4 linked regions of the Danio rerio genome follow. The protein of the gene in region 1 interacts with the protein of each later gene in a biochemical or structural test. Links are inferred from orthologs where the notes say so. Each region holds a gene or a part of one and is shown on either strand. Other genes may lie near its edges.

Evidence for each region. The genes of interacting proteins can lie anywhere in the genome.
Region 2: of the proteins of uba1 (region 1) and ube2h, one has a biochemical effect on the other in vitro, tested with the Homo sapiens proteins (3 studies listed by BioGRID, with this or other methods). The link is inferred for Danio rerio from reciprocal best matches to the Homo sapiens genes UBA1 and UBE2H.
Region 3: of the proteins of uba1 (region 1) and ube2q2, one has a biochemical effect on the other in vitro, tested with the Homo sapiens proteins (3 studies listed by BioGRID). The link is inferred for Danio rerio from reciprocal best matches to the Homo sapiens genes UBA1 and UBE2Q2.
Region 4: of the proteins of uba1 (region 1) and ube2z, one has a biochemical effect on the other in vitro, tested with the Homo sapiens proteins (3 studies listed by BioGRID). The link is inferred for Danio rerio from reciprocal best matches to the Homo sapiens genes UBA1 and UBE2Z.

What each region holds. Positions count from the first base shown.
Region 1 is NC_133198.1:23,551,948-23,555,447, reverse strand, and holds part of uba1 (ubiquitin-like modifier-activating enzyme 1), read right to left. Parts: intron 2,116-3,500; coding exon 1,999-2,115; intron 1,833-1,998; coding exon 1,774-1,832; intron 1,673-1,773; coding exon 1,504-1,672; intron 62-1,503; coding exon 1-61. UniProt on the Homo sapiens protein: Catalyzes the first step in ubiquitin conjugation to mark cellular proteins for degradation through the ubiquitin-proteasome system.
Region 2 is NC_133179.1:15,592,715-15,596,995, reverse strand, and holds the start of ube2h (ubiquitin-conjugating enzyme E2 H), read right to left. Parts: upstream 2,801-4,281; 5' UTR 2,682-2,800; coding exon 2,629-2,681; intron 1-2,628. Other genes in the region: zc3hc1 (zinc finger C3HC-type protein 1), read right to left, coding at 3,903-3,974, 4,062-4,274. UniProt on the Homo sapiens protein: Accepts ubiquitin from the E1 complex and catalyzes its covalent attachment to other proteins. E2 ubiquitin conjugating enzyme that transfers ubiquitin to MAEA, a core component of the CTLH E3 ubiquitin-protein ligase complex.
Region 3 is NC_133200.1:31,836,088-31,840,023, forward strand, and holds the start of ube2q2 (ubiquitin-conjugating enzyme E2 Q2), read right to left. Parts: upstream 2,801-3,936; 5' UTR 2,629-2,800; coding exon 2,470-2,628; intron 1,132-2,469; coding exon 1,027-1,131; intron 1-1,026.
Region 4 is NC_133178.1:22,333,959-22,337,908, forward strand, and holds the start of ube2z (ubiquitin-conjugating enzyme E2 Z), read right to left. Parts: upstream 2,801-3,950; 5' UTR 2,463-2,800; coding exon 2,074-2,462; intron 624-2,073; coding exon 551-623; intron 1-550. UniProt on the Homo sapiens protein: Catalyzes the covalent attachment of ubiquitin to other proteins. Specific substrate for UBA6, not charged with ubiquitin by UBE1. May be involved in apoptosis regulation.

The sequences.
Region 1 (3,500 bases):
CCAGTCGAGGCTGACTGACATCAGCACGGTTCTTCCCAAGATCCTCCTCACGCAGGTAAAACTAGGAACATGAAGCAAACAAAATTGTATTTCTACTACTGTAGATTATTAATGTTTATTCTTACACTTCCAGAAACAATATATGGATTTTTTTTCATTTGTTTATGTAGAGAACAGTACAAAAGTTTGGGTTTGGTAAGATTTTAAAAATTATTTTAGAAAAAGTCTCTTGTGCTCACCAACATTGCCTTTAAAAAAATCTATATATAATAATAATAATAATAATAATAACAGTAATATTTTGAACTGACGTACACGTTTATTCATTCATTTAATTTTTTTTTCATCCCAATTCTACAATGGCAGCATATCTTCACCCGGAATCAGGAGATGCACAAATTCATATTTTTTGTCATTATTACGAATTTTTACGACAAACACGTTTTAATACATTCATAACAGCCTTCAAGTTTTACCATCATGCTTTAAAAAATAAAAATCACAGTAAATTTTAGCATCAATAATGCCTAATATTAACTCCTGTATAGCAGTCCCACAACATTCTGTCACTCGATGACACACGAACAGCCTGTAAGAAATTTCTAGTGGCTGTGAATGACCTTTTATATAATGTTAATGTTGTTTGCGCGTGTTTACATAGATGATTATGGCCACGGTGTAAAAGCACAGTACAGTTACAAGCTAATTGCTACATTATATCATTTTAACATAATATATGCCTTCAATGATATGCTGAAGATAAATACCACAAAAAAAACGCAACTGGTATAACTACAGCAGTCGCCTTCATCAATCTCATATGAAGCAAGAGCTCATGATGACGTGTGCAGGTGTTGTAGTGGTGTCCCATTTCTTAGAGATAAATTTTGAAGCCCTTCCCCTTAACACTCTGTTTCAAGGGCCAAGAGAAAGGGGTAATAAACTGCCAACTTATCCAGCATGTTTTACACAGCGGATGCCCTTCCTCCTGCAACCCAGTACTGGGAAACATCCATACACTCTCACATGCAATGACAAATTCTTTCACAAATTAAACTTTTAAATAATATTTTCCTCTATTGAAATATATTTGTTAAACATTAATTCATGTGATAGCAAAGCCCAACTTTCAGCAGGCATTCATTGTTTTCAGTATCACAGGATCCTTAAAATAATGCATATTTTGTAATTATCTATTAAAAAAAAAACATGTCAATATCAATACTGAAAATAGTGCAGATTAATATTTTTGGTGGAAAAATACATTTTCCTCAATACAAAGAACAGCATTTCATAGCAAAACAATAAAAATCAAACTCAGATTTTTGAATAAACCTTTCAAAATCTGAACCCAAACTATGAATGACGGTGTAATTTAATTGTTGTTTGTAGACTTTTTTTTTTTAAACGTAATTTTAGCCCCTTACTCAACGCACAAAACTATCAGCAAGGGCTGTTTTGCTTTCACACAGTTACAGTTATGACTCATGACCAACCACTGACCTGTGATGAAAGGTCCTTCCACTCGGCCACTCCCTGATCGTGCAGGGTGACGCTTTTGACTCCACCCAGAATGACATTCTTAGCGATCTCTACCCCTAAACCTCGCAGTCCCGAGATAAGAACATTAGAGCTCTGCATACGCTTCATAGCATCATGACCCAGCACGTACCTGAGAAACGTATACTAAATTTAGCTTCTGCTCACATGATCAGGTTTGCTTGCTCAAAAAAACATTATGATACATCAAACTAAAATGCAGGCCAGACTCACAGCTGTCTGGAGTACAGGCCCTCGTCGATCTCAGCATCATTTCCATTCTTAGCCATGCCCTGCAGAGACCAAAACCACAGTTAGCAGACTATAAATAGCCATGCACATAACTTATGAAACTGGCTGCCTTTCAAAAAACACAAGCGCAGTAAAGAATGAAGATAAAATTCTCTAAATATGTTCAAGCCCCAGTGGTGTTCAAAACAAGTATTGACTTGAACATACGTTAGCTGGTGTGTGTGACAGTTCAGTTCTGACAGAGTTAGAGGAGGAGCAATGGGATCCCGTCTTCGTCTCTGATCCTGACACGCGACGCTTCTTGGACAGCGGCGAGCTGGACATCTGGAAAACAAGAAGAAATATATTTTTCGCAGGAAAGTGCGAGTAGTAGTGCCTAAATACTGTTACTTTAACAGCAATTTTCATGAATTTCATCATGCGAGTTGAAAGCGAGTTTACTTCATAACAAAAAGTACAGTCATTAAAAGCAAAATGTCTCTGTACAGTAAAAAAATAATAATGTTCCAGATAAACTTTTACATCTGGCATCAAAATGTGTTTTATTGAATTGTTTCAAGTCTACAAATGTAGAAATTACAGCCAACACATTTATCCGTCTTTCCTTTCCATTCCTAAAACAGGTGTACGTATTGGGCCTGGGACAAAAAACGCTTTCAAGGTTTCCTGCAGTTTGCAAAAGTCAAAGATTTAAAACTGCAAATATTTTCTGTTTTACCATTCCTAAAGTATATCTAAGGTTTTTATAAAGTATTTTTTTAAATGTGTTGTAAAGAAATCTGTGCTTATGAAACAAATGAAGAGAGAAGTCAATGATAATTTTAATTATTTAGCCTGACATGTTTCCAAAATATTATAAATGTTTCTTAAATAAAATAAAATTTTCAATGGGTAAAAGATTTAGTTTTATACCCAGATATTTAAAAAAATAATTAAAACAACTTATTTTAGAGCAGTAATTACAATACCGTGAAGGTTATCATAACGTCAGGAACTTATACTGGCCCATGCCTAGTATGTATGGGGTTTTCAGATCTCTAACAGCTACAAAATTTTGCTGGTAAAAAATAATCTAATTCTGTAAAACATTATGCTTTTTACATTTTATTTCACCTTCAAATCAAACGTCCGATTTCAGAGAGCAAAGTTTAATTCTTATATGGTTAGTGAGCTTCAGCAACATGTCCTATATTGTTTAAGAATTACGGCAGTAGTCAGAGAATAGGTGGCCTGATTGAGCACATTCAACTACAAGTGGACAAGCTTAAAACCTTTCAGAACTTACTTTGCACTGCTATTTATCATTGTCCACTTGAAGCTGGATCAACAAAAGTGCATCTTAACACCAGATGTAAACAGGCCCTTAAATTTGGCAAAACCACAAGTCTGTTTTCAAAAATGAGAATCAAATTAACATCTTATTAGAGGTTTCATATCCTTTTCATCATAATTGTTTTGGCGCCTGGCAAAAGCATATGTTTCTCTCACTAACAAATTAAACCAGTAGCTACATTTCCATCCAAACTATTTTGAATATGGGCATCAAAATAAAAAAAAATCAGCTGCCGGAAACGCCATGATGGCCATCAATTTTGAAAATGCGCATAAAAAATGTATGCACATAACCGAGTAGAATCAATTTTATTTGACAAGAAAAGATTCCAGAAAAAAAAGGTTGTTATTTTGTTAAAAGAGATCATGTGATGGTT
Region 2 (4,281 bases), on another chromosome or scaffold:
GCGAAAAAAGATTTTGGGATAAAAATTGGAATACACTGAAAAAGGTATAAGAATTTAGGGAGTACATTCATCTTTACGCAGCTGATTCTGCCTGCCATTGATAATGGGAGAAGAGACCAGCGGCGAAAATCATGTGTGAGACGACTAAGAACGAGTTGTTTTTAACGTCTAAAAATATACGTAAGTGAATGAGACTGGAAGTCTCAATCTAAAGAGATTCAAATAGCTGTGCCCGCTCATACGCGAGGAATAAGGTCAATAGGGTATATGCCGAAGCATGCTAATAGGACTTTTAACCTGGGTTAAGCCCTTCCGATGAACTGTTTGCCATTGCAAAAACGGCGCGTTTAAAGTCTGTTTTTAAAAATCAGCGATTTTCATGGGCTGAGTGATATCCGATATAAAGTGGGTCTCAGATTGTACAAGAAGCACTGCATTAAATTACATTTTCCCCCGCCATGTCTTTAAAATATGAGCATTTATATTACCCCAGTATATTCAATGGAGCTTCTGCGCTAACCTCGTTTTACACTTGAGCAACTAAATGAATGCCAGAGTCTATTTAACTGATTGTGTTTTAACTATATTACAGCATCGATGCTGTATAAGGTATCATTTAAAATGGAAAAAAAACCTAACAATAACAGGTAACCGGAAGTTTATCAGCATGGGAACAGCACTAGCTCGGCATATACCCTTTAGACTGAACATGTAATATGGGCACAAAGTCACCATTTTTGCATAAAATCAACATCATTTACAAAAACCTGTATGTATTTTTAAAAGCATATCCAGGCCTCTAATTACAACCGGAATATAACTGAATGGCCAAACACACACAAAGTTGTTCCATTTTAGGTGATTATGATGTTGTGTAAACACTTTCTACAGATTTATGGGAAATGTAGTTTTTCCACCAGATACTCAGCTGTTGAACTACATTTTTCTTTACTTGTTGAAGATCAAAAAAAAAAAGTTTAAAAACAGAAAAAATATCCTGACAATTTGAACAACAGACCTGTTCAAACTTTTTCATTTTTCAAGAAATAAACCTAAGCGAATAGCTTAAATCTAAATAACTGAGCACAAATTATACACTAGCTTTAACTAGGAAAAAATACTGTCACTCAACTCTTTAATCCCACCTACTTGCAGTTTCCGGGTAGTAACAGAGTGGCCAATCATACGGCTAGTTCCTACTGCTGGAGACATAAACATAACGAGACATTCCCAGATCCTTTCAGGACTTTACAACATCCCAAAGAGTCTTTCATGGGTTACTTTTTAATGCGCACACGTCGTAATCACACATAAACGACCCAAGCTAAACAGATGGCAAGCCCCGACAGCATGAAAACTTTCCTGATCTGTAAAGCAAACAAATCTTTGCAGGTTTCTTTTGTTCTGAAAAACTCGACATAACTGCACTTCATAAATGATCAACCCAACGTCTAAAAAGCCAACGGAACTGCGTGTTCTAGATGCTTAGATAGACAAAAACAATGACAAAACGCACTGACAGCACAGCCAAACCACACACTGCGCATGAAGGCATGTTGCACGCATAATACCAAACGGCTTGTCTTGAGCAAAAGCGGACGAAAACAACTCTACAAAACTTTTGGTGCGTGTGTCATTTATGTCAAGTAAACTAAAGGGATTCTTGTGGAGTGGTGACAGAGACAAACATCCGCACCCAGTCAATATAACAACAACATAACTTCCCTTGTTCTCGAGAGCTTTAAAATGCGAACAAAAATATGGTAAATTTCCTGTCAAAACATGTAACCCTCAAACGAGAACATTAGACCTTAACAAAAGCCAAAGCAAGATGGATCCTCCATATGAGAGAAAAACACATTGAGACAGGGTTATACAATGACGCCGAGTTTGAAGTTTGGCATTTCAGATTTGTTGTTATTTAAAGAGCGTTGCATCTAAACAAACAAACTGCACATGAATATCTCGTTGTTTTCGTGTACTATAAATAAACAAGCGATTGACGATGTTTAAATGCGTATAATTGTCCGTTTTCATGATAAAACAGCAACAAAAACAATCAACAAATAAATAAATAACTGGCTTCTGAGGTTGTGCTAGCTCGCTAGCAGGCCAAATGGAAAGTAACAATCACCATTTTGGTCAAAAACACGTCTGGATTTGTCAGAGAGCATATAAATAAATATATCCGACTGGTATCTATATAAATATGTGCTTGAATCCTGTGGATGTCAAACGTTGGCATGGATTTGAAGAGAAAGGCGATGACAAAACACTCAAAGGACACAGAGCAACATTTCCCCCTTTCAACACTGACAACGAACAAATCCCGTCGAGAAAAATCTGATTTTTTTAGCTGAGTTGTGTTATTTTCAAAATAAGCCTCAGTTATTCTTGCCTTTGTTGCTGGCCGCACTGACAACCATCAAAACACTTTTGTTGTCAAAAGCTGATCACCATCTAACAAACCATTACACTGGCTTTGACAACTGTTTTTCTGAGCAGACGGACGCGTATAATTGTTTAAAACCAGCAGGAGATGCATTTTAAGGCTGATTCGGTGAATATCTGACATATTTGACGGCCACAGCGTTACAGTAATTGTGTTGTTTATATTTTAAAGGATACAGTTTCACCACGTCGGTGTCCATTCGTCTTTTGCCCGGACTTGGAGACGACATCTTTATACACTCCTCTTTCAGATGACCGATGCTCAAATCTTCTGCGACTGATTCTCGATCCCTTGGCCTCTACCGAAACTGAGTATTTTTGAACATTGGCATACGGCAAGCTGTCGTTTGGAGAGTTATTTTTCGCCCTCCACTTTCTGTCCGCAGCGGATAGTACTGGTAGTCCTCTGCCCGCACTGCTCTCTCTCTCTCACAGCTATCTATCCCTCCGCCGATGACGTCATGTCTGCGCGACGAAAGGTGTCCCCCTCCTCCTATGCGGTGTTTTGGACGTGTCATAAACAAGGGGACGACTCAAATTTGTAGTACGTTCAAAATGGTAGTTTTTAGTTAGCTATAAAGACAACTATGGTGGTCAAACCCCCTCTGTTATGATGTATTTTAAATCAACACACTTCTTGTCTTTAAACGCTATTACAGTTTTGATGGTCAACACTGATAATGAGACACAATTTTCTTGTAACATAACAACACTGCATTTTACAAGTGTGTAAAAGCCACAGCAGTCAAATGTTAAGTTGGTGTATCCTTTTAAGACAAAAGTATGACAAGACGTACATGGTGGAAACCAGCAAAAGGATTATTTTTATTAGATTTAAGCAGATATTTGCATGCACAATGCAGGACACTAGAGAAAGAACTTGCTGCTCAAAACCAAAAAAATTGGCACTCCTTTTCTAAATGTGGCATCTATTTCAGCTGGTATATGCGTAAAAGATAGGTCATAAATTATACATAAAAGTGTTCGTCCATTCACATTTATGGAATACTTACTTTAAAATGCCAAAAAAAAGACAAGCCTGCAAACACTGGTTCCCCTTAGCTATACTATAATATGAAAAGTGTTAGTTTTTGATCCAACTACCATGTTGTCCAGTGTAATAAGGTGGTAATGGACTATTTGGCAGTCCATGAGATGTAAAGAGCTTTGGTTTGTTGTTGCTCAAAGGCCGAACAGACAGACCCAGAATTCAAAACAGTGTGGTTAAGTTACAATTTCTAGAAGAACTCTGCCAGGCTTTTCTGCTCCAAAATGAGATCTTTCAGCACAATCCAGCTCAATCCGTGTGGATTTACCGTCCCAACCAAACCCATTACTGTAAACAAGACTCACATGATCAAGAAACACTCGGATATGAAACTACTGTAAATATTACAAAGAGCAGCGTACCACTAGGTTAACATCAGCAGGCTTTCCCAGTCCAACACACACTACTGGGATGGGGATGACACCTGCCACTGTCGAAATATTGAAAATACCCTTTTTGATTTGTCATGAGGACCCTGAATGAAAAGTAAAAACAGAGTGTCACAGGAATGAAAAGTGTTTAATAATTTCAACAAAATGCAGATATGTTGAATATGGTTCACCTGTGATGGACTGGCTCCCACTGGATTGAGGCTTTGTTTCATGGATAAAAACAGGGCAAGCACTGCTTTCCAGCCTGGTTGAGGGAGCTCTGCTTCACAGCCAACAAATTCAGAGGCGTCCTGATTGTCCTCCTCTTTTTCCACACTCACCCAAGGACACCAGTCCCTGTGCTGGGCTACTGGGTCAAACATATTTCTGTGCAACAGGCCTTCCTGTAAG
Region 3 (3,936 bases), on another chromosome or scaffold:
TAGGCTTATGGCTATATGAAGAGAGAATTATGAGTAGGGTGGGAAGTTTCGTGAGTCGAAAACGAGTGATGAACTCCCGGTAATCTCGCGTCTCCCTCCCGATCCTTAAATAGGCATTGTTATGCACCCTTCTCACCCCTCCCCACCGCATCTCTCCTCAGACACGTCGCACGCGCACCCTGTCAATCACCACCAAACCACCACCTCTCCTGACAGTTTAGCGGGATGCTGGAAAATGAACCCTGACACTCTGACCAATGTAAGGAGAGTTTACTCGCACGTGACTTGTTTTAGCTCCTTTGGTCCGATTAGAAACTTTGTAGTGTGAAAGCGAACCGCTCCAAAAGCAATGTAACGATTGTAATCTCTGTTTCGGAACAACTGAATCGATTCACAGGTGTGAAAGCACCATAAGACTCTTTCCATCCACTTTAAGACAATATAACCACTTTTCAACCGTAAACACTAGTGAGATTTTAAATTACAGTATATTAATTAAATATTAATGTAAGAAATTAATCCAAAACTAAAACAATATTCATATACTGAAAAAATTATATTAAATCTAGCTAATTTAGCAGGTTGGCACCTATAGAATTGCAGAAATAATGGTGTTGCATTGGTAACTGCAGTAAACAAATCACCATAATTTCAAATCTAGTAGGACTTCAATGATTTCATAAACTACACAGCATCCTTATATTCATAGATATAATTCAGGCAAACTTTAGCATGCAATTATACATTGCCTAAACTAAAATGATATTAAATTTAAGTTTTACTTTTATACTTTTATCTTACTTTTTACTTTTAAACAATCCTTATTGGGGTCAATAAAAATTCTGTTTCAATTCTCAAAAACCGTTATGCTGCTTAATATATGTATTTTTAAGTGTATTTGCTACAGTTCTATCAAGATGAAATAAAAGTATTAATTGTCTACAGGGTAAAAAATTAACAGCCACCAATCAAGCATCAAAATACCATCTCATTACCATCTCAAGTGGGAAAAAAACACTTCCTTACCAAAGCATTGCCTTTTCTGACATCCTCCAGTCGTTCAAGGACTTCAGTCAGACTTGGATCATCAGAATCAACAAACCATATTGGTGGTGTTGAAGGATAAGACTCCTACAAAAACATCAAGAGTAACAAAATCAGCATCTTCATACCCGTATCAAACCCATTTGTCCTTTCACAAGGTTGCTAAAGTCTTCTCATTTCAGTTCAGCCACTTGCATGACAAACAGCCACATTAACAGATGCCAAACCAATGAATCAAACTCTGCAGCTTCTTCTCTCAATGAGAAAAGACCACAGCAGACCCGCGCAGTGTTGTTTATTTCAGAGAAGTGTTTGTCAGAGCTGATGATCTTCCACGTAAAATCATGTGAACATTATGTTCTCATCCACTAGTTAGAAATCTCCTCCCATTGTGTCTTCCATCAAGGGAGAGCCAAAATGATGGCGATGTGATATTCTTTTGCTTGTCAGGACCATAAACTGACCTCATAGCACCTCAAATCAGTATACAAGCTCAGCAAACTAACTGGCCTCTAGAACACACAAAAAACAGCAGCCAGTTGCACTGCAGTGGCGTCGTTTTGCAAAAACAATGTAGGTTCTGATGACAACACTCCTTCATAATGTAGTGCAGTTAGCATACACTCAACATACATGCAGATTTCGCTCAAAGATGCGAAATGGCAAATAAACGCGATGACTGAAAACGCGCTAATGTTGCTAGCACATGTAAGGCAACATTAACAGTTACGAAAATATTATACATTTATGATAAAATCATTTACATGGCGAAAAACTGAACAAACTTCGAGCATTTTAAATCTACGCATTTCGTAGCAGGCCCAAGTTAGCTGAACGGAGAACTTCGACAAACCAGCTAAACAAATTGCGAAATTAGCTAGCCGAGGATTTAACAAACTGTTGTGTTTACACAAAATGTTTCAATGCTCGATAAATAATCCACAAACAACATCCCAAATCCGCGATAAAAAGATTTTAAAAAATAAGTTCACCCCAAAACGTCGTTTAGCAAGCTAAACTACCAGCTAAGCCAAATTAGCACACAAGCTAATTACATGACAACTAATTTAAAGTGACGCAGAATGCAAAACATCCACCGGTCTTGGTCAACCATCTCCTGTACACAAGAATAAATAACGCTGACGATTAGCTGATGGTTTTATTAAGCCAACAAAGTGAAACCGAGAGCAAACGCAGTTAACTTTGTTAGCTAATACACCAGCAAGCTAAGCGTAGCTCGCGCTGCTTGTTTAGCAGTGATTTTGACATCTTTTTGATTATAAAACTGAACATTGATCACCCTAAATGCTTTTATTCGCACTATCATGGCTTTATTCGAGCAAACAGGGGCTTGTGGGTGGTGTTGTTTCACTCGGCCTTGCCTTGTTCGCATGTAAACCTACACACGGGGCTGGTGGATCTTACCGTGATGTTGCAGTGAATAATCAGCAGCTTTTCTCCCGTCACATTAAACTGGCAGCTCAGTTCGTCTGGCTTCCAGTCGATTATTCGAAATCGCTCATGGTTTGGGTCAAAGATTGACTCCAGGAACTTTAATTCGGCCTTCAGCCCCGACACCGACATCTTCCACTCATCTCATCAGCAGCCAGGCCGCGGGGGGAAGGGACGCACGGAGACCGCGAGCGCGCAGCTGATCCAGCGAGAGTGCGTGTGTGTGAGCGCGCGGCGGCGGAGGGAGGCTGGAGGAGAGAAACAACAAAGAGGGGGCGGGGAGAGAGAGGCGAACTGGAGGCCGGAGAGACGACAAAACAACGCCCGCCAAGAAATACTGCGAGAGAGGGGAAGTGGGTGATCGAGATCTGCGTGGACTACTGGGACGCCAATTGTGTTTTTCTTAGGTGAATGTGTGGTTGACCATTCTTCGTCTTCTGTATGACAGTCCTCTTGTATTATCCAACATATAAAAGAAAGAAAATTACATAATAATAATAATATGCATTTATTTTTATTATGCAAGAAAGAACATTTACAAAGACACAATATTAATAAAAAGACAAAAAGGGTTACATACATAAAATCACAGGAAATTAAACAAATTAAATGCTTCACAACAAGAAAGAGTTTTACGTGCAATTTACACTCTTTTAAGGAGTTCACATATAAATCAAAGTCCTTTCTGAAAATAAAAATAGGGGTGTTTCTTTGAAATTTTACATTTAGGGATGTAAAAATTAGCCAGAAAAAGCTATAAATTAATAATAAATTTTCAAAGAGAAGAATCTAAGTTCAGAAAGTAACCAACTACTACAATTTTGGGGAAATCAGGGTGTTGTTAGGGTTGAAAGGGAAAGGGAAAGGGATTAACCCCAAAGAAGTCAAAGAAAGAAGTTGTAATTCAACCTACTAAAATACCCCCACTTTCAAAGGGTGATCTACTCCACTCTTAATAATAGGATTATACATGGTTTAATGATAAATAAAGTTTTTTGTAGTTGTCTTTTAACAATAAATTGTAAAGCTTTGTGACTTGTAATACCAAAAAGGAAAAAAATTGATAAATTAACCCATTTCTCATTTATTAGTCTGTTATGAGCCATATCATACCTCTTGAGCCTCCTACACTGCAAAAAATGCTTTTCTTACTTAGATTTTTTGTATTGTTTCTAGCCCAAATATCTACAAATTTTTAAATCAAGAAGCATTTTCTAGACAAGCAAAACTTATTGTCGTGTTTTAAGAAATAATATGCCAAAATAAAGTGAGTTTTTTCTTAAATCAAGCAAAATAATCTGCCAATGGGGTGAGCAAAGTAATCGTGTTTTTTGATTTGTGATAAGATTATTTTGCTTATCCCATTGGCAGATTATTTTGCTTGATTTAAGAAAAAACTCACTTTATTTTGGCATATTATTTCTTAAAATAAGACAATAT
Region 4 (3,950 bases), on another chromosome or scaffold:
TATATATATATATATATATATATATATATATAGATAAGTAACGTCTGATTCAAAGTCTAAAACTCAGAGTGTGATCGAGCCTGATTTCCGATCAGGTAATCAAATCTGGACATCCCCAAAGGAGTATGGTTTATTAAAAACAACATTGCTAAATTAAACGTATAACTTTACCCTTTAAAGCATCAACACAATAAAAGATTAAGCCGGCACACATTTTGATTTACAGAAGTGTTTATATACCCCAAAATCTTGTAACTAAAAACAATTTGATCATCACATACTGAAAAGCTCACAGAAAGAATCAGTGCAGACTTCAATGAATAATTAATTTTTTTTTTTTTAATTTTGCCCTTATATTATTTAAACTTATAACTGAATAAGTAGTGTAAACGTAATGCACATTGATAACAATGCATGAACCGTGCATGTGCAAAGCATTATTGTTCACTAATATTATAACAAAAGAAGGAAGGATGGAGGGAGTGCATAAGAAAGTGGGATATGATGAAATACCACTAACTGTGCAAGTCTCTGAAATGTTGCTGCTTACCTTAGTCATGTCATGGGGATCTGGGACCACAAACATACCTGGAGGGGGTTCTTTATAAATGGACATAATGTCTCTAAATGGAGGAAAGAAGACAGAGAATCACTAACAACACTGAGAAATTACTCCAGTAAACAAGTATCCGTCACATAACCCTCCACTTTTATCAAAGCACGAGACGGAAACAGAAGTCACATATATACCATGCCAAGAAAATCATCAGATCAATAAATGCCTGGATTACACAGTCAAACCGCACATAAACAAAACTGACTGGCTGTAACTGAGTGCATTGGTTTTGTGTCCACATTTCCATTATTAGTCCTCTGGGGACATCTATCAAAATATTGCCCAGGCCAAAGTCATTGCCAAGTGACAATTCCCAAAAGTGGCAACACTCACTGTGTCTCAAAAGCAACATGCCCACAACAAATTAATCTGCAAATATGCTTGTAACAGTGGGCTTAAAAAGGTTTCAGCATGCAAGGTAGTACAGATGGACTTGATGTTGGCTTAATCTTTTTCTCTACTTAAAATGCAAAATGTAGTGATAACTAGTTGGGTGGATGTCTGAATCACACTTTGCACTCAGATAAAGTAAGTTACTATTGGTGTGTTTAATGTTCAGTTTTGTATGCAACAGCCATTAATACTGAAGAAAGGTGTGCACAACTAAGATGTAAATGAATTAGAAAAAACAAAACAACAACTTAACTTTAAACAATTAATATATTTATTTTTAAAACTTTCATATTTATAATATTTTAATGCCATTTGACTACTGTTTAAAGTCTTATTTATTAATTTGCCATAACTCAATTGCTTTTTAAAAAATTAATTACACATATATTATAAAGTCTACTATTTATACATTTGCCACGGTTTATGGAAGTAAACAATCCATATCGAAGATGGAAATATATAATTAATAATAATTTCTCACATTTATATAGCTGTGTTCTGGACGCTCAAAGCCTAAATATCTCCTTATCCAACAGCAGAGAATGGTGTTTGATGAATTGAAAGTTCCAAAGCATATGGTTTATTGAAAATAACATTGCTTAATTAAATGTACAACTTTAGCTTTTAAAGCATCAATACAATAAAAGATTAAGCCCTCACACATTTTGACTTGCAGAGAACACCCAACTAGAATGAAAAACAACTTCGTATAATAACAATAAATTTTTGAATGATTTCATTTTAAGGTTATCACTATTTATTAATTTGACCTAAATTCCTCAACATTTTATTAAAGGCTTAACCAAGACATGTATATTTAGGATTGAAATAAAATTTTATTAAGTAAACGTTCCATCAAAATAAAAAATCTAAAAATGTTTAACAATGTGTTATTGCTTTGGTCCACTATTTCCATGCCAGCAGCACAAAATGACAGCTACAAATTGAATCGATTAAGTTCATTCAGCATTAATATTTACTTTTCAATCGCAAAGAGGCTGACATAAAACTTCTCTTAAATTTCCCTAAACAAACTCTGACACTTCAAGACAGTCTATCGTTACCTTTTTATTCGGAGAATACACTGCTGAGACGCCTTTTCGTTGTCCCAGTCGGTGCTTAACGTGGGATCCCAGGAGGTGGCGTGAATTTGAGACAGGAGGCCCGCTCCGGCCGGGACTCCAGAACCGATACCGGGCGGCAGGGATGGAAGAACGGCCACGGGGACTGTGGAACTGACCGCATGGGTGAGCACACCGAGCCCGCTCTCCACGGCCGGAGTGATGGTATGCGCCATCCCGGGCTCGACCACAGCCAGGCCGGTGTCTGCCGGAGGCGGTGAGGCTGATGAATGCCCCGGTATAGAATTACCCAAACTCGCGGACAACTGCGCTCCGTGGCCCTGCGCCGCCCCCACGGAACCGTTGGCCTCCTCCGTAACGCTGTCCGCCATCGCCGATGAGACCGAAGAGCCGCAAACTGTTTGACCAGCTGTCAGTTCAATCAGTTTCCTTTGCAGTTTCTGTTTCTCCTCGCTCGGAAGCAAGTGGAGGAGGGCAGGACGAGAAATAACTCCTACATATTCTCCCGTTTCCCTCTTCCGACCTCAACTATTATAACGACCTATCTCAAAGGAGGAACTAAGTTTAACGTTTTATACGAATTAGCAGTGTTCGGCGAAGCATTCAACGTTCACATCAATGAGTAACAGTGTCTAAACGCCCGTAAACGTAGTTTCTCCTCGCTCGGCCAGGCCTGTTTATAAATGTTGTTTCATTTCTCTTCACTTCCTCCTCGTTTGGGTGGAAACAGCGTCGTCTAGTGGTGCACTCCTGTGAAGAATTATAATGTATTTATTTAACATGCGACATACACACGATGTCAGGCGTAAGACACGCCTTATAATAGTTATTGGTTAATTTATTAGTAAAAGTTAGCACGAGACGCGTACATTTGCAAGCGTTTCATCTATATCAGTTTACGGAAACTATCCAAAGTTTTTATTAGTCTCAGATTACGTTGTTATTTCTGTTACCATGGCAACATCATATTTTTGACTACTACGCCATCATAAATTGTAGAAAGTACAGAAAGGCGGCGGCTTTTAGACACATTTAACTTTTAATTATAATTTTGATTAAGTGGCCAAATTCTGACTAAGGACAGTTTAATGAGCTGGCCATTTTTTATTTGACCATATAGTTTTTATTTTTAAACAAGTTTTACTAGATTCCTATATATATTTTTTTTAAATTATGGATAATAATAAATTATTAACAACTTTTTCCATATTTCTTTTTATTTTTTTTAAATGTTAATCTCATAACAATATTTATAAATCTTAATTAACTTACAGGTTTATAAATTTGAAAATAAAAGCTTCTTAGTAAAATAGCCTACTATGGTAAGCACTTTAACAACGGTTACGATCACCATCCGGAAAGCTGATCAAAGATTAGTTCTTAAAATGCCAGTAAAACGCATAATTAAATAGAAAATCGAGAAGAATACTTGCAAAAAAGTCCACTTATTCAGAAATAATAATAAAAAAAACACTCTATTCAATAGGCCAGTTACAGGCCTGAAATCATTTTCCATCATGTTCAACAGATGAAAAACCCTTATTCACATTAAAAAGAAAATCAGCCCTTTATTTACTCACCCCATAGCATCTGTGTGACTTTCTTCTTTTAGCCAATTTGAAGATATAAAAATATAGCTTCTGACAGTTTCAAGCTGTACAATGGCAGATAATGACTGTTTTGTATCTAGGATCCAAAACAAGTCCAATACAGTTCATCCATCCACAATACAGTGCTCACAACTCTATGAATAGATTTGTGAGCTAATCAACAGCTGGTTAATAAAGGTCTCCTGCAGTGATTGATTCATTTTTATTACAACATTAACTGTCAAAAATATTAAAGTTTGTATTATATAT